Linked DNA regions of Macaca mulatta. The protein of the gene in region 5 interacts with the protein of the main gene of each other region in a pairwise test. Links are inferred from orthologs where the notes say so. Each region holds a gene or a part of one and is shown on either strand. Other genes may lie near its edges.

Region 1 (5,092 bases), on a different chromosome or scaffold from region 5:
TTGAAGTGGCAAGCCACTAAGCTTGGCATGCCTCTGGTGCATGTTCACACAGACTGGGTGTCTGCTTGTCTCCCTGAATTATTTCTCTCAAATCTTGTGCTCCCTCAACCCCTATCATGAGGTCTGGAAAACTACTGATTTGGTCATTATCTTTTTCTTTGATCAGTGAGTCACCTTAGCAGGTCAATTTAGGTTAAAAAGTCACTCTAGTGCCTGGTTTATTATCTCAATTGACTGTTATATTGAGTAATTAGATAATGGCTTAACTTCAATTTCCATTTGTGGTCTATTAATATAACCCTGAAACATTTAAACCCAGGTAAAACTTTTTCTTTTATTTCATGCTTTTACAAATAATATGTTCATGTATTTTTTATCCTCCAGCATCCAGATTTTTATCTTTAAATACCATTTCCCACTAAAAGGAACCAGAGCTCTCTGGAGAAATGGCTGACTCCACAACTGGGGCAGGAAATGTATATCAGGTAAGTCTGCAGAAAACAATGGAGAAAGGAAGAGTGGGAAGAGTGATGCAGATGAAACAAGATTGACATGATTTGATAATTGTTGAAGTAGGGTGTTGGGTACACGTGGGAGTTCTTTATTCTTTTATGTATTTTAAACTTTTTCCATAAAAATAGTTTAAGGAAAGTTAAAAATGTTATTTTCTAAACTGAAGGAGTAATAGCGCGCCCTTTGTAGAAACAAAAGATTTCTACAAAGAAAAGTGAAGTCTCCCTCCGACTCCAGATCCTTACACCCCTCCTCAGGGCAATCCTAGGAACAATTTCCCACGTAGTTGTCAAGAAAGTTTCCACGAAAATATTTTTAAATGTACATACTCATAAAATACAAATATTTTTAAAACCACAAATGGTAGCGTATTATACACGTTATTTTATGCCTTCTGAAGTTTTATTTCCTATTTTAATACAATGAATATGTCTACACATTACAATATTGTGGATTTTTATGCTTTACAATTGAGCTTCTTCCTTCAAGTTTCTTTGATTTATTCAAGAGATAAAAGGCCTACAGCTTCATATTCCTCAGGATTATTTACAAAAAGAAGGATGGCTCAGCCAAGGCTAAATTTAGGTTACAGTTCCTAATATTAACAGTTTTCAAGTTTAGGTTTCAGCTTTTGGGACATTATTGTTATCCTGAAAAATGTCATGTTTAAAAACACCTCACACCTCTACTATAGATTGGATCTTGGGAAATAGGGTTGAGGACGGGATCAATATAACCTCCGCCCCGGCGCATACCCGGGAGAGCTGCAGACGGTCTAAAGGATGTGGTGACCTCAGCGCTGCGTCCCTGCAGCAACCGGCGAGTGCTGGGGCACAGGCCATATCCCCCTAAGCTCGGCATCGCCTGCACCTCTCACAGGTGCTCTGTCCGCCACAGTAACGCTCTATGGAAATTAAAGTTGTAAGGCGAACGACAGAAGGAGCCAAACGAAGTGGATCCGGAGCGGCCACAAGGTGCCTGTGCTGCTGGCTTTTAACACACAAAAAGAGGAGTGCCAAGGAATACAAGAAGCCACAGGGGGAATAAAAAGCGACATATCTGCATGGAGCCTAAATTTCGCTCGATGATTTTCAGGGAAGAAGCATTACATATTAAAAACAAACATTGCTATTTTACGGGAATACCGGATTTAAAAATCCACACAGATTCGCAACATAAAACAGGCAGCCCAAAGACACGTCCGCGGTGTCCTGACAGTTCCGGCTCCGCCCGCGGGCCACGAGGCGGGGATCGACGGTCACTCCCCTCGGTTGCCCAGAGTACTTGGGCGGCAACGGGGAGCGCCGGGGGGAGACAAGCTCCTGGGCTAGGGCTGCGTCTCAGCCACCTTACTTAGCTCTCGAGGTCCCGCGTGTTACGTGTTAGCACCGCCCCGGGGCGTCAGCGTGACCCGGGGCTGCAGGAACCGTGAACTCCCTGCCCCGCGGGCCCAGGTGACCGCGGGCATCGCTATCCCGCGCGCGGGGGGCGGGGCTTCCCCCGGCTGTACACTCAGCTACCACAGCGACATAAGATGGTGTCCGCTAGGCGTCCCAGGACGGCTTCCTAAGGGACTGGAGGGCCCCGACAGCCGGAGAGTCTGCCCCGCCCCTTGGCCGGCACAGGTAGGACGGCGGGGAGCTCAGAAGTTTCGAACTCCAAGGGCCGAAGCACAGCCAAATACCCCACGGAACTTAACAAATGTTTGTGGGGAGAACGCCAAAAACGCGGGGAGGCGGGGCTGGCGCACAGTCACCCTCTCGCGACATCTAAGTGACGTCGCATAGCAAGCACGTGTTCTAGTCTTTCACCTTCAGTCAGCCTCCTCCGTTATATGGGCCTACCCCTTTAAGCGAGTGATGGACAGTTACTTCAGCCTATCAACTTCCTTGCAGACATCCAATCAGATTTAAACTTCTTTTAGCCGCCGGAGGAGTTGGAAAAAGGGGGTCGAAAGAGGGAGCTCACCGTCTCTCGCGATATCGCTGTGAGCCTGCCTCTCGAAAAAACGCCGAAACTTGGCCCCACCTCCCAAATAGTGGTTTAAAGGACGGGTTTATAAGCCAATGAAAGGGATGAGGAGGCGGGGTTGCTGCTTTCACTGAGCAAGAAGTACCGTTACAGGGCAGACTTTTTGTCCAATCAACACAGCTACACTTTGGGTCACGTGACCGCAGAGTGCGAGGGGCGGAGCTACAGCCTGGCGCGAGGAACCGTTAAGATAGACAACAAATGTAACCAATGAGGTACTCTGACTAGGGGGTTGGGAACCCAATAACAGTGGTTGGGCGGGCGCCTTCCTGGAGCGCGGGGAGATGTAAAGATAGACAAATAATTTTCCCAATGAGACTGTAGAAGAGAGAGCTAATTGGCCAATGAGGACTGCGGGGCGGGACCCTGTGCCGCGGCGGAGTCCAAGATGGCGGCGTGCGGTTCCGCTGTGTGAAACGAGCGCGGGGCGGCGGGTTGATCAGCTCCGCGGAGACGACCTCCGAGGACCCGCAACAATGAAGGGAAAAGAGCGCTCGCCAGTCAAGGCCAAACGCTCCCGTGGTGGTGAGGACTCGACTTCCCGCGGAGAGCGGAGCAAGAAGTTAGGGGGCTCTGGTGGCAGCAATGGGAGCAGCAGCGGAAAGACCGATAGCGGCGGCGGGTCGCGGCGGAGTCTCCACCTGGACAAGTCCAGCAGTCGAGGTGGCAGCCGCGAGTATGACACCGGTGGGGGCAGCTCCAGTAGCCGCTTGCATAGTTATAGCTCCCCGAGCACCAAAAATTCTTCGGGCGGGGGCGAGTCGCGCAGCAGCTCCCGGGGTGGAGGCGGGGAGTCACGTTCCTCTGGGGCCGCCTCCTCAGCTCCCGGCGGCGGGGACGGCGCGGAATACAAGACTCTGAAGATAAGCGAGTTGGGGTCCCAGCTTAGTGACGAAGCGGTGGAGGACGGCCTGTTTCATGAGTTCAAACGTTTCGGTGATGTAAGTGTCAAAATCAGTCATCTGTCGGGTTCTGGCAGCGGGGATGAGCGGGTAGCCTTTGTGAACTTCCGGCGGCCAGAGGACGCGCGGGCGGCCAAGCATGCCAGAGGCCGCCTGGTGCTCTATGACCGGCCTCTGAAGATAGAAGCTGTGTATGTGAGCCGGCGCCGCAGCCGCTCCCCTTTAGACAAAGATACTTATCCTCCTTCAGCCAGCGTGGTCGGGGCCTCTGTAGGTGGTCACCGGCACCCCCCTGGAGGTGGTGGAGGCCAGAGATCACTTTCCCCTGGTGGCGCTGCTTTAGGATACAGAGACTACCGGCTGCAGCAGTTGGCTCTTGGCCGCCTGCCCCCTCCACCTCCGCCACCATTGCCTCGAGAGCTGGAGAGAGAAAGAGACTACCCGTTCTATGAGAGAGTGCGCCCTGCATACAGTCTTGAGCCAAGGGTGGGAGCTGGAGCAGGTGCTGCTCCTTTCAGAGAAGTGGATGAGATTTCACCCGAGGATGATCAGCGAGCTAACCGGACGCTTTTCTTGGGCAACCTAGACATCACTGTAACGGAGAATGATCTAAGAAGGGCGTTTGATCGCTTTGGAGTCATCACAGAAGTAGATATCAAGAGGCCTTCTCGCGGCCAGACTAGTACTTACGGCTTTCTCAAATTTGAGAACTTAGATATGTCTCACCGGGCCAAATTAGCAATGTCCGGCAAAATTATAATTCGGAATCCTATCAAAATTGGTTATGGTAAAGCTACACCTACCACCCGCCTCTGGGTGGGAGGCCTGGGACCTTGGGTTCCTCTTGCTGCCCTGGCACGAGAATTTGATCGATTTGGCACCATACGCACCATAGACTACCGAAAAGGTGATAGTTGGGCATATATCCAGTATGAAAGCCTGGATGCAGCGCATGCTGCCTGGACCCATATGCGGGGCTTCCCACTTGGTGGCCCAGATCGACGCCTTAGAGTAGACTTTGCCGACACCGAACATCGTTACCAGCAGCAGTATCTGCAGCCTCTGCCCTTGACTCATTATGAGCTGGTGACAGATGCTTTTGGACATCGGGCACCTGACCCTTTGAGGGGTGCTCGGGATAGGACACCACCCTTACTATACAGAGATCGTGATAGGGACCTTTATCCTGACTCTGATTGGGTGCCACCCCCACCCCCAGTCCGAGAACGCAGCACTCGGACTGCAGCTACTTCTGTGCCTGCTTACGAGCCACTGGATAGCCTTGATCGCAGGCGGGATGGTTGGTCCTTGGACCGGGACAGAGGTGATCGAGATCTGCCCAGCAGCAGAGACCAGCCTAGGAAGCGAAGGCTGCCTGAGGAGAGTGGAGGACGTCATCTGGATAGGTCTCCTGAGAGTGACCGCCCACGAAAACGTCACTGCGCTCCTTCTCCTGACCGCAGTCCAGAATTGAGCAGTAGCCGGGATCGTTACAACAGCGACAATGATCGATCTTCCCGTCTTCTCTTGGAAAGGCCCTCTCCAATCAGAGACAGACGAGGTAGTTTGGAGAAGAGCCAGGGTGACAAGCGAGACCGTAAAAACTCTGCATCAGCTGAACGAGATAGGAAGCACCGGACAACTGC
Region 2 (4,989 bases), on a different chromosome or scaffold from region 5:
TGATGATTAAATATCGCTCAAGTGAATGTTCAAACACTGAAACATTTAAAAGACAAGCAAGCAAAACACAGCTCACAGGAATAAAATGCATTTAGGATGCAGAATAGAAGGTCACTACTCTCAAAGCATTTGTCATTTAAAGGAAAGTCATACTTTATTATGTTTTCAGAAAAATTAATATAATTTCATTTTCAACACTAGCAAAAAGGAGGCAGCTGCCTTTGATACACGACGCATTAGGTGGGCCATTTCACTAATTACCTGATTTTAGAAAACGCCAAAGGCTATAGAGGCCTATTAATGGTTCAGCTGAATCTCTGCAGATGTGTTTGTTTTCTAAATCCTTTGCCAGTAAGTAATTCCCATGAGGACTCTTTTAGTCTATACTGACAAAATTATTAATATGCTGTTGATGCCAGACTGCGTTTGTTATAGCTGATTCTCCCATCCAAGTACAAGAAATGTATTGAAATAAAAACTGCTCAGCCTATCTTAATAATATTAGCTACAGGAAAAATTTTAGCTACATGAAAGACTTTAATATTTCCAACAAACAGTTTGTTTTCTCTTTCTCTTCTCGCATTGTTTTTCAAAACGAGTTGCAAAACTATGACCACTAATATGGTGTTAAGAAGAAAAAAAAACAAGTTGCAAAATATTACAACTTAGTTCATCTTCAAAATTCAAGATTATTTTCTTTTTTATGTTTTACCTGGTTTATCAGCTTTAACCTACCAGATCTTGTCATTGCTTTCCGACACTGAAATTCAATCTAAAATCAAATCAAGAATTTCCTAACACAAAGGTAAGTTTAGGTATAGGACCGATCATATTACCTTCAAGGGCAGTTTAAAGATTCTGCCAAAAATTAATATGTATCTCCAACAATATTTTGAAATATTTATAACTGGTGGTAAGAATAGACTTCCTACAAGGGATAGTCTGGTTAAGATTAGAAATAACCAAGCGTACCCTCTAAGATAGTTTTTTAAATGTTTAAACTTACCTTTAAGGGAAATAAGTGGGGGCTGACTCAGGGAAAGAGGGGATAGTAGGTAAGGAAAGGGCAAAGGCTAGAGTTAAGTGAATAATCCTGTACGTAGAGTGACATCATAGAGGACTTTTGGCTGGTGAATAGACCAGTAGGGAATACGGCCAATATATATCAACCTTGCCACTCATAAACTTAAAACCGACTGCATATGTATCCCCGTATTTCTTCTTCAGAACACTACTAATAAATAAATAATAAATCACCGCCCGTATAAGCAATTTGCGACTCTAATACGGGTGCTGATTTATTTGTTCAGGTGGTCTACAAATGTTCTGTTCTGCGCGTCTATTAAATTTCCACACGTACCAGACGCCCACATGGGATAACCTGATGCTTACAAAGCGGATTAAACTCAGTAGCAAATGTTATCTGGGTATTCGTTTACAAACGGAGACACCCCTAAAGGATCGCACCTGCTTGCGTCATAAGAAACATAAAAATCCAAAAACTAACGTAATTCCAAGAGACACAAAACGCGGAACGCTTCTGCATCTGCAGAAAGTACCGTTCTCGGACAGGTCAACGCATTACGCCCCCAGCAACTAGGTCAGAACGCCTCCAACTTGAGAGACAGGACCGTCAGCCAATCAGATAGCAGCTATCTTCTTTCAATTCCTATTGTACTAGATGAGCGCAATGAGGCGGGCTCTTAGCCGACAACCAACCAATGGAGTATTGTATGGGACCGGAAGAGACTCTGGTCCTGGAATTCTTGAGTATTCTCTATGGTTCTAGGGCCGAGCTGCGCTAAGAGACAGCGGGACAGAGGAATGGGAAATGACGTAAGGATTGCGGAGGGGCGCGAGGTTTCAAGATGGCGGTAGCTGAGGGGTAGACCGAGAGGCCGAGTTGAAGGCCCTTACGAAGTGAAAGAGGCCGGGAATCGCCCCCTGCCCGCTTCTCGTAGTCCTGGGAGCACAGCAGAAGTGTGAGTGTATGGAGTTGCTCTACTTCTTTTCCTCATCTCTTTCGTCCCTTCCACGGCCCGCGCAGTGGCTTGGGGGACACCCAGTCCCTTTGCCCCGCTCCTCCTCTCCCCGGCTGGGGTCTCCCGGTTGCGGACTGGGGTATTCCAGGGCCTGGGGTGGCGCGGCGACCAGTGGTTACGCGGTTGGCATCGCCCGGGGCGGTTGGGGCCGCTTCCTATGCACGTTGATTGGTAGCCTTAGGTTTGACGTCTTGTACCTCGAGTCATGGTCGGTCAACCGTCACTATGGTTTCGGCAGTTGCTGGTGTTGCCTCCTTTGGTGGACCTGGACCCTATCCCATTGAAGGTTTTTTGGCTATTTACAGTTCCCCAACGGTTATTTGGCTTGATTTTTCCAGTCGCCCCCGCTTGTAGACAAAAAACTAATCTTTGCAGACTTAAGCTCCCGTATCTTCCGTAAAATTCTCTGTAATTCGTATCCGTTGTGTTTCATTTGTGGGGGAGGAGATTCAGAACATGAGCCCGCTTGAGAAAGGAAAGCACGAAAAACGCAGGCAATCAAAGATGGGAGAGCTTGTATTTGTACGAATTTTGCATGTTTTCTTCCTTCCCTACCTCCTACTCCCTGCTGCTCTCCCACCCACACCTCCACCCCCCAGTTTTTCTGAGAAGGAAACCACTTGACAGGGTGTATGGTAGCTAGGGCAGGAATATGGATCCATTATAAAGATTATAGTTAAATAGTGAGTCAAACATCACAAGATATTTTATTTGTAATCCCGTTGTATCATCAGAGCTTTGTTATAAAGTAATTGATGTCCCCATTTTTTAGATGAGGAAGCTAAAAATCAGAGCCTTTGACACCACCGTCTTGAAGTAATTGCCACCAGAACAGCTATGAAACATCTAGCTTTCTGAAACATCTGGCTTTCGGGGCAATTGGACACTTGGCGAAAGACACATTAACTGTAACAAACTGGTCTGAAAATCTTCCCTTTCTTCCCTTTAAAAAGTGTCTACTTGCAAAAGGAAACAAATTTGTCCACCTTTGTTACTGGAAAGAATGCTTCAAAAAATTAAGCCCCATTCTTTTGGAATAAGAGGAAGAAGTCATGTAATAGGGTATTGTGTTAATAAAAGTTTTAGCTTACAAAATATTTTTTCCTCAAACAAGAATAAGTATTCCCTTTAGTTACCTTAAGAAATATATATTGGGAGTCAGGTATTAGAAAAATATGTGTCTTAATATTTAAATTTTGGGGAGCTCTCAGTGTAGCACTAATTTCAAATACTTGCATTTTTAGTTGTGTTTTGAACTCTTGAGAGTCAAGCATTATATCTGAATTAAATATGCTTAAATGAATGAGTTTTTAGTGTCTTAGAAGTGTTGAGAATGTACAGCATACATGCCAAGAAAAACCATGGAGCGAGGCAAGGGTGAGGTGTTTGTTTTGAGCCTAGATCCATTACCCCCATTCCGTTCGTATTCTTCTTTTACAATTACGTGTTAATAAAGGGAGGTTATAGAAGAAGGACTAATGAATTCTGATGTTCATGGTTTGTGCCATATCGTTAAAGCATTTTCTAGTTGTTTTTTTATCAGTTGACAAAGTCAGTGCTGTGATCCATAAGAAAAAAGATAAAGTAATGACTTGAGGATATTCAAAGTGGTCTTCACACTCATCACATTTCCAAAGAATGATGGAGATCTAAATTTTCATGGTAAAGAAACTTAATGCCATCTTTCTTGGACATTAAAGTCAAAACTAAGGAAAGAACAGTCTCACAGAATTTCTAATTAAAGGAATTTTTTTTTCAGAGATTGGTAGGGACTAGAAAAAGGAAGAAATAAATTTAGGAGATATAAGCTATTTCTTTGTCTTCACCTTCACAGGTTTTTCTTTTTTTAATGAACAAGTAAACCATACAAATTGTCAACATGGGACGGAGATCTACATCATCCACCAAGAGTGGAAAATTTATGAACCCCACAGACCAAGCCCGTAAGTGTCCATTAGTGTGGAATGATGAAGTAGGAGAGTGTTAAAAATTGCACATATTAGGGAATTTATTTCTCTGTGGCTTAATTACAAGACCAGCAGTGATAGGAGGAATAAATTGTATATTCAGTGTTTGGATGGGAACATTAAGACGTTAAACATGCAAATAAATTAGTACCCATATTTTAGTTTTCAGATTTGATTGACTTGCAAAGTAGAATTGGCTGAAAGTTTTCTTTTTGTATTTGAAATTTTGAGCAAATTAGTTTTGCGAGCCCTTGTTTCGCATTTTATGTTATCTTTTTCTTTCAGATTCATAGTTGTTTTTTATGGAACATTAAACAAAAATGTCTTGACATTTTTGGTTGTCATAATTAGAGGGATGCTCTTGGCATGTAGTGGATAGAGGCCAAAGATGCTGCTGTTTTACAGTGCATACTGTAACTTCCCACAATAAAGAATTACCTGTATGAAATTGAAGGAAATGCTAATGTTCAAGATTCAAAAATTTTATTATATCTCCCTCTCTCCTTTTAAAGGAAAGGAAGCCCGGAAGAGAGAATTAAAGAAGGTATGATTTCAGAGGCATCTTATAAAACTTTTAAGTACTATTTGGCACATCTTGTGGTTTGGGATTAGTGGGTTTCAGAATAACATTTCTAATATTTTCTAGAAAAGGTGCTTTATGCTTTTTATAAAAACTGTAAGATATACTAAGCCAAACTTTACTATATTTAGGAACTGAAGTAACTTTGCAGAGAAGCTCACTACAAGTTATAATGCCATTTTTGATTACTTTTCCAGTGAGTTAAAAAATACTTTGGAAAATAATTCTTTTTTGTTATTTATTAAAACATAACTTTTAAAATCTACCAATGAGGATGGAAATAAACATGATGCTAGATCACTTTATCCATTTTCCTGATTAACTATTATGTATATTACATTAGCTTAAATATATATATTGGCTTATAATATTTATAAATATATTACCTTTCTTTTCCTGA
Region 3 (5,062 bases), on a different chromosome or scaffold from region 5:
CCAGGTTTAAAGTGTTGTGGGGGTTCCAACATCTTTTATATTTATTTTAAAAAACCACAGCAGAGGGGTTGTACACCCTTTCATGTTTCTTGACTATTTGGATTTATTCTTCTGAGACATGTCCATTCCTATTTTTTGTTCCTTTTCTATTGTTTCTGCCTTTTTTCTAATTAGTTTTTAAGATTTCTTTGTATATTATAGATATTGGCTCTTTATCATGTATGGCAAATATTTTTTCCTCATCTATCATTGTCTGTTGACTTTTATCACAGTGTTAAGTTTTGGGGTAATCAAGTATATCTTTTCATAGTTTGAGGTTCCTGTCTTTGCAGTCCCTCAATCCCTAGATTACCCTAGATTACTCTTATATAGTCTCCTAAATTATATTCTAAATGTCTTGTTGTTTAAATTTAAGATTCTACACCATTTATCAACTAAATCATCTTTTCCTGATTGAAATAAAATACCACCTTTGTGGTATTTCCGGATTCTGTTGCACTAATGTGTCTTTCCTACCAACAATATTATATTGTTTTATTATTGTGGTTTTTTTGTTTTTGAGACGGAGTCTCATTCTGTTGCCCAGGCTGGAGAACAGTGGAGCGATCTCAGCTCACTGCACCTCCGCCTCCCGGGTTCAAGCAATTCTCCTGCCTCAGCCTCCTGAGAACCTGGGATTACAGGCGCCTGCCACCATGCTGGGCTAATTTTTGTACTTTTAGTAGAGACAGGGTTGTCACTGTGTTGGTCAGGTTGGTCTCGAACTCCTGACCTCAGGTGATCCACCCACCTTGGCCTCCCAAAGTGCTGGGATTACAGGTGTCAGCCACCGCACTGGCCTGTTTTGTTTTATATACTATGTTTGTCATCTGGAAAGGCAAGCTCCTGCTCAATCTTGTAAAGTTTTCCCACTACTGTAGTATTTTTTTTTTGAGACAGTCTTGTTCTGTCACCCAGGCTGAAGTACAGTGGCCGGATCTAGGAACACTGCAATCTCCGCCTCTCAGCTTCAAGTGATTCTCTTGCCTCAGCCTCCCGAGTAGCTGGGATTGCAGGCGTGCACCACCACGCCCAGCTAATTTTTGTATTTTTTAGTAGAGAAGGGGTTTCACCATATTCGTCAGGCTGGTCTCGAACTCCTGACCTTGTGATCCGCCCGCCTCGGCCTGTCAAAGTGCTGGGATTACGCGTGAGCCACCGCCGCCCGGCCGTAGTTATTGTTTTATATGATTTTAAGATCATTTAATTAAATCCTCTGAACTCCGTTAAGATTCCGATAGAAGTGTGTATTTGTAACTTTTGAATTGACAACCTTGTTATCTTTCATTTAATTTGTTGTTGCATCACTTCAAATACTGTTTTTAATCCTTCAGTAAGTCTTCTCTATTCATAGCTTTTTGGGTCTTTGATTTAAAAAAAACAGGAAGTCTCTTTACCTGCGGCGTAACGGAGCCGGTTTTCCGGCGCCCATCAGCCCCTCCCGTACTCCCGCCCCAAGGTTCCGCGTTACCATGGGAACAAAGGTTGACGTCACTTAGGGCTTCCATGCTGGACCCGAGGGTCGATGGTGAAGGGAGACTAGCGGAGAGGGCGGTGTTGCTCTATATACGCATGCGCACTTCATGCTCCAGGATTCCCCCGCCATAAATCTCGTTCCGGCTGGGCCTTTTCCGCCGCGACTTCTCGCTTAATCCCGGAGAAACTGCCCCCTGAGGGAGGAGAGTAGAAAAAAGCTGGAACCAGCGACAGCCAATCCCGTGACACTACGACGCACGCGAAATTGATTGACTCCACCGCCGCAGCCAATGAGAGAGCTCGTCGACGCTCCGTCACAGAGTTCGCCCCACCCCATCCCCTCCTTTCTGGACTCCGAGCTCAGTTCACGCAGTAACAAATGAAGTGCGCGCTGCGACACCTCCCAGCCCACCGGACTCCGCCGCCATTTCCTCGCCTGGCCTAACGGTTCGGCCAATCCCAGCGCTCATCAAGAAGGACTGAGGCTCCGCCAATCGGAGGCCCCCGATTTCGACCCTTCGCTTCGGCCCGGCCCAATCCAGTCCCCGGTCCCGCCGCCCCCGGCCCGCCCCCGCGGCGGCCTTTCTCCTCCCTCTTTGTGCGTCTCGCGCCGCCGCCGCCCGCCGCGTGAAAGGACGGGCTCCGCGCGCTCCGGCAGCGCAGTCGGGTCCCCTCCCCCCGGGAGGCTTGCGAAGAAGCCGCCGCCGACGAAAAGCAGCTGCCGGTGCCTGTCCCCGGGGGCGCCATGGCGACCGGAGCGAACGCCACGCCGTTGGGTAAGCTGGGCCCCCCCGGGCTCCCCCCGCTTCCCGGACCCAAAGGGGGCTTCGAGCCGGGCCCTCCGCCTGCACCCGGGCCTGGGGCGGGGCTGCTGGCTCCCGGGCCGCCGCCGCCCCCGCCCGTGAGCTCGATGGGGGCCCTGACCGCGGCCTTCCCCTTCGCGGCGTTGCCTCCGCCGCCTCCGCCGCCGCCCCCTCCGCCTCCCCAGCAGCCGCCGCCGCCTCCACCTCCACCGTCCCCCGGCGCCTCGTACCCGCCGCCGCAGCCGCCCCCTCCGCCGCCGCTCTACCAGCGCGTCTCGCCGCCGCAGCCGCCGCCACCCCAGCCGCCGCGTAAGGACCAGCAGCCGGGCCCGGCCGGCGGCGGAGGAGGTGAGTCGGGCCGAAAGAGCGCGAGAGGCGTCGCGCGGACGGGCCCGGCCGCCTGAGGGGCGCGCGGCGGCGGCGACGGCGGCTGCACGCGGCAGGGGCGCGCGCGCGCGCGCGCACGGGGAGGCCCGGGCGGAGGCGCCCCGGGGCGCGCGCGGCCTGGTTCTAGGGCCTCGAGTGCGCACGCGCGCTGTTGGGGAGGGTTGGGCGGGCGGGAGGCGCTCTGTGCGCAGACGCAGTGAGGTGGTTGGGCTGTGCGGCGCAGTTCTATAGACTCGGGGCCCCCTATTGCCCTTCAGTCCGCTGATGTTCAGCACTGGACGGGGTGCTGGTTGTGAATGCCAGCAGGGCGTGAAAGCCTCACCTGATGATGTGCGGCGGCTCCTTTCTGGTCTTGAGCCAGAATGGGAACCATACCAAGGATAGCTGCTCTGCTTGTATAGCAAGGCAGGGTTTTCATCCGGGAGAGGTTGGCATGCTTCAGGTGATGGTTGGGTCTGATCGTTTTTGGTCTCTTTTGGGGAGAGAACTCTAGTTTTTTAATCTCCGTTCAGTATCCTTAGATCTCAGTCTGACCGGCTCTCCTGTCACTTTGTTTTAAAAAGTTTTTCCTTCTGATCGTGTATCGCCTGGGAAATAGAAGGACTCTTGTGCTAAACGTAGGGAGTTTCTGCCTGTGTATGGGGGAAGGACAACTTGGCTGCTATTGTATAGGTTGTTGTTTGTTGAATTTTTGATAGATCCTTTTAAAAGTTCAGACTCTGAGTGTCCAACTGGCCAGGAAAATTGAATGCTGATCTTGGCCAAACTTACGAAGACAAAAGTGATCTTGTTGAAGAATTGGGCTTTTCCCACTCGGTAGGGTATAACTAGGTTTAGCTCTCCTCCTGCCTCTTAAGTGACTGGTGAGGGGAGTGGAGGTGGGCGGAGCCCCCAGTCCCATCAGGGCTGCTTTACAAACCTATGATTCTTCAATGTATTTGTGTCTCCCCTGGGGATTTCAGAGCACTCATGGTTGATGTAGTATATATCTAACACTCTCTGCAGTCGTATACATTAAGATTACCATGTTTACATATTTGACAGTTTCTCTAGACAAAAGAAGGTGAAATGTTAACTTGCCTGACCCAGGACCACATACCCTTGTAGTGTCCATAAGCTTTAAATCTCTGATCTCTGAGGTTTGTTTTCTGGTTTTTTGCTGTTTAAGTTTTAGGTTAAGCTCTCAGTTTCGCAATCTGCTGAGTTTCTGTGTAGTACCTTAAATACCCTTGACTGTCTGTTGGTAACTATTTATATTTACATCTGATGGGCTTTGTCTCTGCCTTTAGACTTCCCAAGTAAGAAGCGGAAGAGGAGCCGCTGGAACCAAGACACAATGGAACAGAAGACAGTGATTCCGGGAATGCCTACAGTTATTCCCCCTGGACTTACTCGAGAACAAGAAAGAGCTTATATAGGTAAATATACGTTCTGCATCCAAATGCACTTTGAGATTGTTACGATTTATTCTGAGCAAGATCTGCATTTCTTGAAAGTTTGAGATTGTAGTTATCTTTTTTGAGATGAGATATTTTCATGACTTTGGTATCATCTGTCAGTTTTTGCCCAGTGAGTTCTGCATTTGCAGCTCCTTGTTTTGGTCTGTTCATAACTGCAGTGTTCTCCATGAGTGTCAGGAAGGTAGGGTCTCACTTAGGGGTAAAAACAGTCCCCAGACCAGCAGCCCACCCTTTTCAGCTGCTGCTGTTCATTGCCAGTTGATGAGGTGAGTGTCATCTGCCTCTCTGGACAGGCCCCAGTGGAGAACACCACAGGTACTGTAAACCAAGTACTTTTCACAGCATGGCCTTTCACCATAATTTCATATTTCTCCCCCTAAAATGTGGTCTTTTACTTTTTATAGGTACTTTCTGAAAGAAAAAAAAAACTGACAAAAAGTGGTTCTGAAAGTGTGTTTACAATTTATCCCTTTTTATTTTCTTGAATTTAAGAATTTAACCTTCCCTTCAACATCTTTTCTGGTTTGGTTTATGGAGAGCTGTCTTAAAATGAAGGCTCTTGTATTTACTCTTAACTCTGCTGGGAAAGGGATATTGCATGGATATGGAATGAAGTGCTAGGATAAAAAGGTTTTATCTGCTGGGAGGTTTTGAGAATTAAGAATGACTGTCCACAGTGGAATTGAAATTAACTTCAAAATTGCTTTTTTGAAAAAAAGTTTTTAATGAAAGTTTTACCTTTTAAAGCTGTCTCAAAAAAGTTCACTTGATAAACATTTTCTACTAACTAAACAAACATCCCCTTTGGAGGAAATTCGGGCAAAGACCTCCTAAGCCTACGAGGCTGTGGCCTTCACAACCAAAACGCTTCAAGGCCAGCATGTTACTACTCTTGAG
Region 4 (3,244 bases), on a different chromosome or scaffold from region 5:
ACGTTGAGATGTTTGGACCATACTCTAGTTGGGTACTGAAACAAGCAGTCTATGCTGGAGGTAGAGATTTGGGTGGATCCCTGTAGAGATGGTGACTCAAGTCAAGCAAGTATAATACGATTGGGTAGGTGAGAAGGTCCCTGGGGAATACCATAGTGTAAGGGCCAGCAGAGGGGAAGAAAAAAGGGGGAAAGCACAGAGGGAGAAGTAGGATCCTTCTTCCAATGTTTTCCCCGCTAACTCTACCCCACCTCCCTTTCCCACTAGCGCGGCCATGCTGAAAATTGCTGAGATGGAATACAGTGGTGCCAACAGCATCTTCCTGCGACTGCTGCTGGATAAGAAGTATGCACTGCCTTACCGGGTGCTGGATGCCCTAGTCTTCCACTTCCTGGGGTTCCGGACAGAGAAGCGTGAACTGCCTGTGCTCTGGCACCAGTGCCTCCTGACTTTGGTCCAGCGCTACAAGGCCGACTTGGCCACAGACCAGAAAGAGGCCCTCTTAGAACTGCTCCGGCTGCAGCCCCATCCACAGCTATCCCCCGAAATCAGGCGTGAGCTTCAGAGCGCAGTCCCCCGAGATGTGGAAGATGTTCCCATCACCATGGACAACTGAGAAAACAGTCAGTTGTCCTGGCCAAAGGGGTTTGGAAGGACACCAAGACCCCCGTTGGTGACTGAAGATGACACCAAACCTTAATGGCTAAAGACCCAGATCAGGGCAGTGACAGATCACAGGAACATCTGTGGCTTCCAGTCCAGGACAGGAAGGACTGAGGGTCTGGCTGGTTCCCTCTTCCATTCTAGGCCCTTACCCCTGTTCAGTTCTGAGAGCCGACTTAATACCATACACTGGCATTCCCAGTCCCCAGCTGGGGCTTGGTGTGAGTACTTTTTCTATGGCTATTGTGTCAGGTCACTGTGGATAAAGGCAAAGGCAGGTATTTATTGAACCTCTGTGTTTGGTGTAGTAAATGGAGGTGGGCATTACTCCTGTTAGTATCTGGAAGATGGAGGACATTCTTGTCCCGTTTATATAGGAGCCACCTCCCTTGATCTCCAAGCTTGTTTCTCCAGGCTACACTCACCTTGTTAGCCACCTGGGGACACATCCTCTGCCTTCTCCCATGACAGGCTGCAGCAGCCAGGAGCAGGTTGTCCAAAGATGGTCATGTGTCAGCTGTGGATGAAAGGACTACAAGAGAAAACTTGAGGAAAGCAGAGATACAGTCAAGAAAGGCCAGAGAATAAGGCTGGGCCCAAGAAGAGTTAGATCAGAGCTAGCATCAAACAGGCTCCCTTTCTGGCTTTTCAGCCAATGAAAGCTTTAGTGACTAGTAAACTACGGCCAAGTGCCCCTTTTTTTGTTGATTTATTTTTTGAGACAGAATCTCGCTCTGTTGCCCAGGCTGGAGTACAGTGGCATGATCTTGGCTCACTGCAGCCTCCGCCTCCTGGGTTCGATAGATTCTCTTGCCTCAGCCTCCTGAGTAGCTGAGACTACGGGTGCGTGCCACCACGCCTGGCTAATTTTTAAATTTTTAGTAGAGATGGGGTTTCACCAGGTTGGCCGGGCTGGTCTCGAACTCCTGACCTCAGGTGATCCACCCGCCTCAGCCTCCCAAAGTGCTGGGATGACAGGCGTGAGCCACCGCACCCAGCCCAAGTGCCTGTTTTTGTGTGGCCCATGAGCTAAGAATGATTTTTCCATTTTTAAATGGGGAAAAAAATTAACAGTATTTTGTGATAGGTAGGAATTACATGAAATTCCAGTTTCAGCATCCATAATTTTGTTGGAACAGCCATGCTCACCCATTTACATGTTTCATGTGGCTGCTTTTGTGCTACAACAGCAGAGTTAAGTATAATCCTGCTATAACCCTTATTTGCTTCCAAAATTGTGCATTTGTTCCAACCCATTTAATATATTTGGGAACAGTTTGATCATAACGCAGGCTTAATGTTTGCTTGTGTATGATTTCATCCTCGAGAAACATTAGGTGAATATGGGAAACTGTACCCAGCTGAACCAAGCCTAACTAGTACACAAAACTCACACTTGAACATGTACCAGCTACCTCACTTAGCTGCCCACCTGTGTTGAGCAACCCTTCCAACATCCACTTCCAAAAGCAAAGTGCATGTCTTCAAGATAAAAGGCCGTATTTATTGTAATATTTATGTATTTCTCAACCATTTGACATGTAAAAACCAAGCTATCCTTTTTTTAACATGTGTCACTCATTTGAGTGTTGTGCTTCAAGCCCCATTTTTCCCATGAGACCTGTGGTTTTTATTGTGCAAATTGCATGGCATAGTGATTTTCAGGAACACATAGGTCACATTATAAAGCAGAACTGATTATATTTGGGTCAGAGACCATATAGCCCGCAAAGCCTAACTATCCAGCCCTTTACAGAAAAGGCTCAATGATCCCTGCTTTAGACCACTGGCTTCCGCCTCCTTACCTCATACAGTCCAGAAATAGACTTAACCCACACACCAATCCAAGAAGCCAAAGCCAGTTTTATTTCACAATCTTTATTACAGTAGGATGATGGTCCTGGGCCACCAGCCTAAACCTTGTGGCCTTAGGAAAGACCTGTGTCAACAGGGCTTCCTCCCTCTCTAGACAGGGGCTCAGCCACCTCCAGGGCATCCCTGTTGCATTTTCTCTGCTGGAGGATGGGGCAGAGGGACAACAGGAGAGGAGGGCATGACCCCACCCCAGGCTGTAGCAGCTCCTTGGCCACAATGATCCTTTTGCCAGTAGCAGAAGGGAGGAAAACAGCAACCACCAGGGTTACCACCACTTGTGGGATGGCCAGGACCCCGTTATGTCCTCTTACAGTTGTGCTCAAAGCAATTAATAAATTAAAATGAGCCTTCAGCAGCAAAGCTGTCAATCACACAGAAGCTGAGCAGAAAACAAAGCAAAGAGGAATTTATAGCTTCTCTGGCTGAGGCCTAGGCCCCTCCCTCTAGGAGCAGCTGTCAGCACGGATTATATAGGGGCCTCCAAAGTACTGAGGAGTCATCTAGACTATTCCCCCTCATATGTGTCTATCATGCATGAAATTTCAGAGGGACCCCAATCCAAATGCAATAACCCTAGAAGGGGCAACACCTTTAGAAGGCACTAGAGCATTTTGGCAGTTGAAAACAGCCCCCAGGGGTGGGGGGCGCTCAAAAGGAATGCTGGCGTTATGTATCCAATTCTGTCCCATCAGCCTGCCCCACCCCC
Region 5 (4,255 bases):
CTGTTTAGTGGTGGGTAGAAACTGAGACAACATAGCAGTTGGATGTATAGTTGCAGAATATCCGAGGATCTGGGCTTCCTGACTCAAGGTTTCGTATTGTAACACCGTGTTTCTTGATCATCCTCAAGTAAAGGGACTAAAAGGGTGAAAAGGTCTAGTGTCCTTTGATATTTACTGTGCTTTTGAATGTGCCCCATTAAATAATCAAATTATGAGTATATTTTTACAGTACTAACTTAGAGGCTGGCCAGCATAACTAAGTATCAAGGAAACATGCTTAATACTTTTGTACCCAATAGAATTTTTATATTGTTATGTTTAGGTCATACATCTGGCATTAAAAATTCCCTTGTATCTTCCCATTAGGTGGTCGCTCTCGTTACCGGACCACTTCTTCAGCCAACAATCCCAATCTGATGTATCAGGATGAATGTGACCGAAGGCTTCGAGGAGTCAAGGATGGTGGCCGGAGAGACTCTGCAAGCTATCGGGATCGTAGTGAAACCGATAGAGCTGGTTATGCTAATGGCAGTGGCTATGGAAGTCCAAATTCTGCCTTTGGAGCACAAGCAGGCCAATACACCTATGGCCAAGGCACCTATGGGGCAGCTGCTTATGGCACCAGTAGCTATACGGCTCAAGAATATGGTGCTGGCACTTACGGAGCTAGTAGCACCACCTCAACTGGGAGAAGTTCGCAGAGCTCTAGCCAGCAGTTTAGTGGGATAGGCCGGTCTGGGCAGCAGCCACAGCCACTGATGTCACAACAGTTTGCACAGCCTCCGGGAGCTACCAATATGATAGGTTACATGGGGCAGACTGCCTACCAATACCCTCCTCCTCCTCCCCCTCCTCCTCCTTCACGTAAATGAAACCACTCAAGTGGTAGTGACTCCAGCAGACTTAAATTACATTTTAAGGAACACTCTTTCCTTTTTTTTCCTCTTCCCCTTTTCTTTTTTTCTTTTTTTTTTCCCCTTTTTCTTTTCTCTTTTTTTTTTTTATTAATTTTTCTCCCCAACCATCGTGATTTGTCTTTTCATGCAGATTAGCTAGAATTCACTGCCAGGTTTCTTCTGCCCGCCAAAATGATCCAGTCTGTAATAACATTTTGTAAAAAAAAAAAAAAAAAAAAATACATATATATATATATATAGCTGACTGGAAGAGATTAATTTCTTCCCCCAACTTCTTGCATGTTGAAGATATTCGAGCTATTTTTCATCTTAAAGAGTAAGGTATTAGGCCCTTTTGTGGGAGCCCATCTTTTGTTTTTTTCTGAGTTGGTGGGGAGGGAGGGAGGGAGGGGGAGGGCTGAATCGTTTTGCAGAGGAAGATGGCATCTGTGCTTTAAATTTCTCATTACTGGGTTAGAAAACAAACAGGGATTTCCCTGCACATTTTCTTTTGTGCTTTTAAATGTTTCTCAAGTTGGAACAGGTTTCCTCAGGCCTGTTTTGACTGATTGCTTGAGTGCATTTGACAGTTAAAAATCACTAATTGGTTTTATCTCCCTTTACACTCTGCCTTTCCCCCGCCCCCATTACTGAAAAATAACCATTTTAGTGTCAGGTTAGAAATTGAAATGCGGAGTCTTGTGTATCCTTTAAATTAAAAACCACAAGTGTTTATTGCAGTGGTTTAACTGTAGCATCTCAGCATCTGGGTGGAAGCTGCCTATATTTCCCGGTAAAACTGGGGACCATCTGTGAAATTAATTTTCCAGCCAGACAGCTGCTGTGAGCAAATGAACATAAAAATGCTCACTGGAAACTAACCAGTTTTTATATTGACCTGCAGTGTAAAAAGCACATTTAATTATAAACAATATATTCAAAATGGGCAGATTTTCTTTTGAAATGCAGTGTAGAGCTAGAATAAAAACAACTCTTTGCCAGCTACTCTGCCCTTTTGGCAAAGTTACCTTGAACAAAGAATCTTCAGGGTTTATTAAGAACTCTTATTTTCTTCATACCCTGTTCTCTGCAGTGCTTTCTAACAGCTTCTGGGTGCAGATTTTCTTCGGCATCCTTTTGCACTCAGCTTATTACAGGTAGGTAGTGCTTAAGAAAAGTCATGGAGGACTAAAGCCTAAGTCCTTTTCACTTTTCCTCCATCTGAAGGTAGGTGAGTTCATCCTCTTCATAGTAATGCTGTTTTACCAAGACTTTTTATATAGCAGATGAACCCAGAAAGAATTTTCTGCTATTGTGTTCACTACAACAGGGTAGAGACATCAGACAGCCCCAGAAACCCCTTTCAGATCTGATATGGGACTATTAATTTTTATGCTGTTAATTTGTATTCATTCACAATGCAGTTTAAGGCGGAAGGCTCCACTGCATTCTTTGGCTAAGGCTTGAATGCTTGCTGATTTGTAAGATCTATGTTCGAGGTTTTTGTTTTCCTTTTAAAATTCTTTAGGGAGAGAGGGATGGTTTCTGAGGGGTTCTGAAAGTATGAGTCAATGTGCAACATACAGGTAGGTCTTCAGCATAAGCTGAAATGTATGCATGTAAAAACTTTGACATCTTTTTTTTAATTTTCCACTTTCTTCTTTCTTAACTTTACTTCTCTTTTTGTCCCCCCCATCTTATAGAAGTTGAGGCCAAGGGAGGATGGTAGGCACAGACGAAACGTGGCAAACTGCTCTGTGCTTTCAAACCAAAGTGTTCCCCCCTACCCCAAATTTGTCTAAGCACTGGCCAGTCTGTTGTGGGCATTGTTTTCTACAACCAAATTCTGGGTTTTTTTCTTCTTTCTTTAAACATAGAGGTTCCACCACAAGGGATGCCCTACTCTCTCGCAGCTCTTGAAAGCATCTGTTTGAGGGAAAGGTCTCTGCAAGCAAGTGGTTATTTGGATTGCTTGCTTCCCTTTTTCCACCTGGGACATTGTAATCACAAAATAACAGTAAAACCTTAAAAGCTATTATGGCCTGAGCACAGCTGAAATCTAGCAGAGTTTAACTCTTCTGCCTCCATGTCTGTCACTCATAATTCAGGTTCTGCTGTTGGCTTCAGAACATGAGCAGAAGAATCATTTTATGCTAGTTATTGCATTCATGGTTGAAACTCAACTTAGGGAAAGGGTTTCAATGTATTAAGCAATGGGCTGCTTCTCCCCCAATCCTCCCTAACAATTCGTTGTGTGGACTTCTCATCTAAAAGGTTAGTGGCTTTTGCTTGGGATCAGTGCTCTCTATTCATGTTCTTGCTGGTCTCCAAACATTCCTGTTGCATTAAGACTTGAAAGATTTGTAGATGTGTGATGTTCAGGCACAGGATGCTGAAAGCTATGTTACTATTCTTAGTTTGTAAATTGTCCTTTTGATACCATCTTGTTTTCTTTTTGTAGGTATAAATAAAAACACTGTTGACAATAAGGTGTAAGGTTTTATTGCTTAAAAATTCTTTGAATAGTTCAATGTAGACATCTTAAAACAGTTTTTGTTTCAAGACAAAGGTGGGGAATATTGGATTGACTGATTAGCACCTAAAACTGAAAGGAAAGTAGAATTGATTAAACTTAATACAAGAGTTGGAATCGAAAACCCTAGCAGGATACCTAGTAGGTAAGGGTTTGGATGTATCTGTATCTGCTTATAAGTAAAACAGTGATTGCGCAAATGGTACTCACCTAAGTACCATTAGGTTATTGGTATTAAGGTACTAAGTGCAAGGCAGGTATCAGTCACTGGTTTGAAAAAATTCAAACCAGTAAAAGATGAGGCACAAAACTCTTCCAGCCAAACCTGGTAAATTTGGTTTGCTTCTGTCCTGAAGGCAGTATGAAAGTGAAATACGTTTCACACTTAAAACTGTCACCTTTATATCTTGACCACCTAAATTTGGTCACCTACCTGGAAAGTGGAAATTCACAAGAGCGTACTCTAATATTTTAACTGGTCTTTAGTTGGGACATTCTTAAGAGGAGGGACATTGTTCCAGATTGGAGTTGACTTCCTCATCATGAGTCTTGCCCTCGGGCCTTGGAGAGCAATCATTTATTTGATCTTTTTCGTCGGTAAGGCACCTTAAGGTTTCTTGTTGCAGTCATTTTGAGGCACCGTATTTGTGCAGTTGGCCCAGGTTTTTATGACCTTACAATGAGTCTTTAAGGGCAGTCTGTTGATGAGAAGGTCTTCTGGGTGGGGTGATGAAGTTTTGCTGAAATCCACACTAAGCATTTTTTCTGGTTTTAACATTTGATCCCAGATTATGGATAAGTTGCCAAAGAACATTCAAAATAGTTT

Evidence for each region.
Region 1: the proteins of DDX17 (region 5) and RBM15 interact in binary tests that used the Homo sapiens proteins (3 or more experiments, as listed by UniProt). The link is inferred for Macaca mulatta from reciprocal best matches to the Homo sapiens genes DDX17 and RBM15.
Region 2: the proteins of DDX17 (region 5) and WBP11 interact in a two-hybrid assay, tested with the Homo sapiens proteins (3 studies listed by BioGRID and IntAct). The link is inferred for Macaca mulatta from reciprocal best matches to the Homo sapiens genes DDX17 and WBP11.
Region 3: the proteins of DDX17 (region 5) and SF1 interact in binary tests that used the Homo sapiens proteins (3 or more experiments, as listed by UniProt). The link is inferred for Macaca mulatta from reciprocal best matches to the Homo sapiens genes DDX17 and SF1.
Region 4: the proteins of DDX17 (region 5) and BYSL interact in binary tests that used the Homo sapiens proteins (3 or more experiments, as listed by UniProt). The two-hybrid records come from large-scale screens. The link is inferred for Macaca mulatta from reciprocal best matches to the Homo sapiens genes DDX17 and BYSL.

What each region holds. Positions count from the first base shown.
Region 1 is NC_133406.1:129,853,906-129,858,997, reverse strand, and holds the start of RBM15 (RNA-binding protein 15), read left to right. Parts: upstream 1-2,017; 5' UTR 2,018-2,888; coding exon 2,889-5,092. UniProt on the Homo sapiens protein: RNA-binding protein that acts as a key regulator of N6-methyladenosine (m6A) methylation of RNAs, thereby regulating different processes, such as hematopoietic cell homeostasis, alternative splicing of mRNAs and X chromosome inactivation mediated by Xist RNA.
Region 2 is NC_133416.1:17,239,214-17,244,202, reverse strand, and holds the start of WBP11 (WW domain-binding protein 11), read left to right. Parts: upstream 1-1,873; 5' UTR 1,874-1,982; intron 1,983-3,876; 5' UTR 3,877-3,921; coding exon 3,922-3,985; intron 3,986-4,521; coding exon 4,522-4,553; intron 4,554-4,989. UniProt on the Homo sapiens protein: Activates pre-mRNA splicing. May inhibit PP1 phosphatase activity.
Region 3 is NC_133419.1:9,618,329-9,623,390, forward strand, and holds the start of SF1 (splicing factor 1), read left to right. Parts: upstream 1-1,886; 5' UTR 1,887-2,260; coding exon 2,261-2,666; intron 2,667-2,887; exon of another isoform or gene 2,888-3,147; intron 3,148-3,994; coding exon 3,995-4,123; exon of another isoform or gene 4,124-4,615; intron 4,616-5,062. UniProt on the Homo sapiens protein: Necessary for the ATP-dependent first step of spliceosome assembly. Binds to the intron branch point sequence (BPS) 5'-UACUAAC-3' of the pre-mRNA. May act as transcription repressor.
Region 4 is NC_133409.1:140,238,568-140,241,811, reverse strand, and holds the end of BYSL (bystin), read left to right. Parts: intron 1-267; coding exon 268-616; 3' UTR 617-2,231; downstream 2,232-3,244. UniProt on the Homo sapiens protein: Required for processing of 20S pre-rRNA precursor and biogenesis of 40S ribosomal subunits. May be required for trophinin-dependent regulation of cell adhesion during implantation of human embryos.
Region 5 is NC_133415.1:13,048,636-13,052,890, forward strand, and holds the end of DDX17 (probable ATP-dependent RNA helicase DDX17 precursor), read left to right. Parts: intron 1-366; coding exon 367-872; 3' UTR 873-3,385; downstream 3,386-4,255. UniProt on the Homo sapiens protein: As an RNA helicase, unwinds RNA and alters RNA structures through ATP binding and hydrolysis.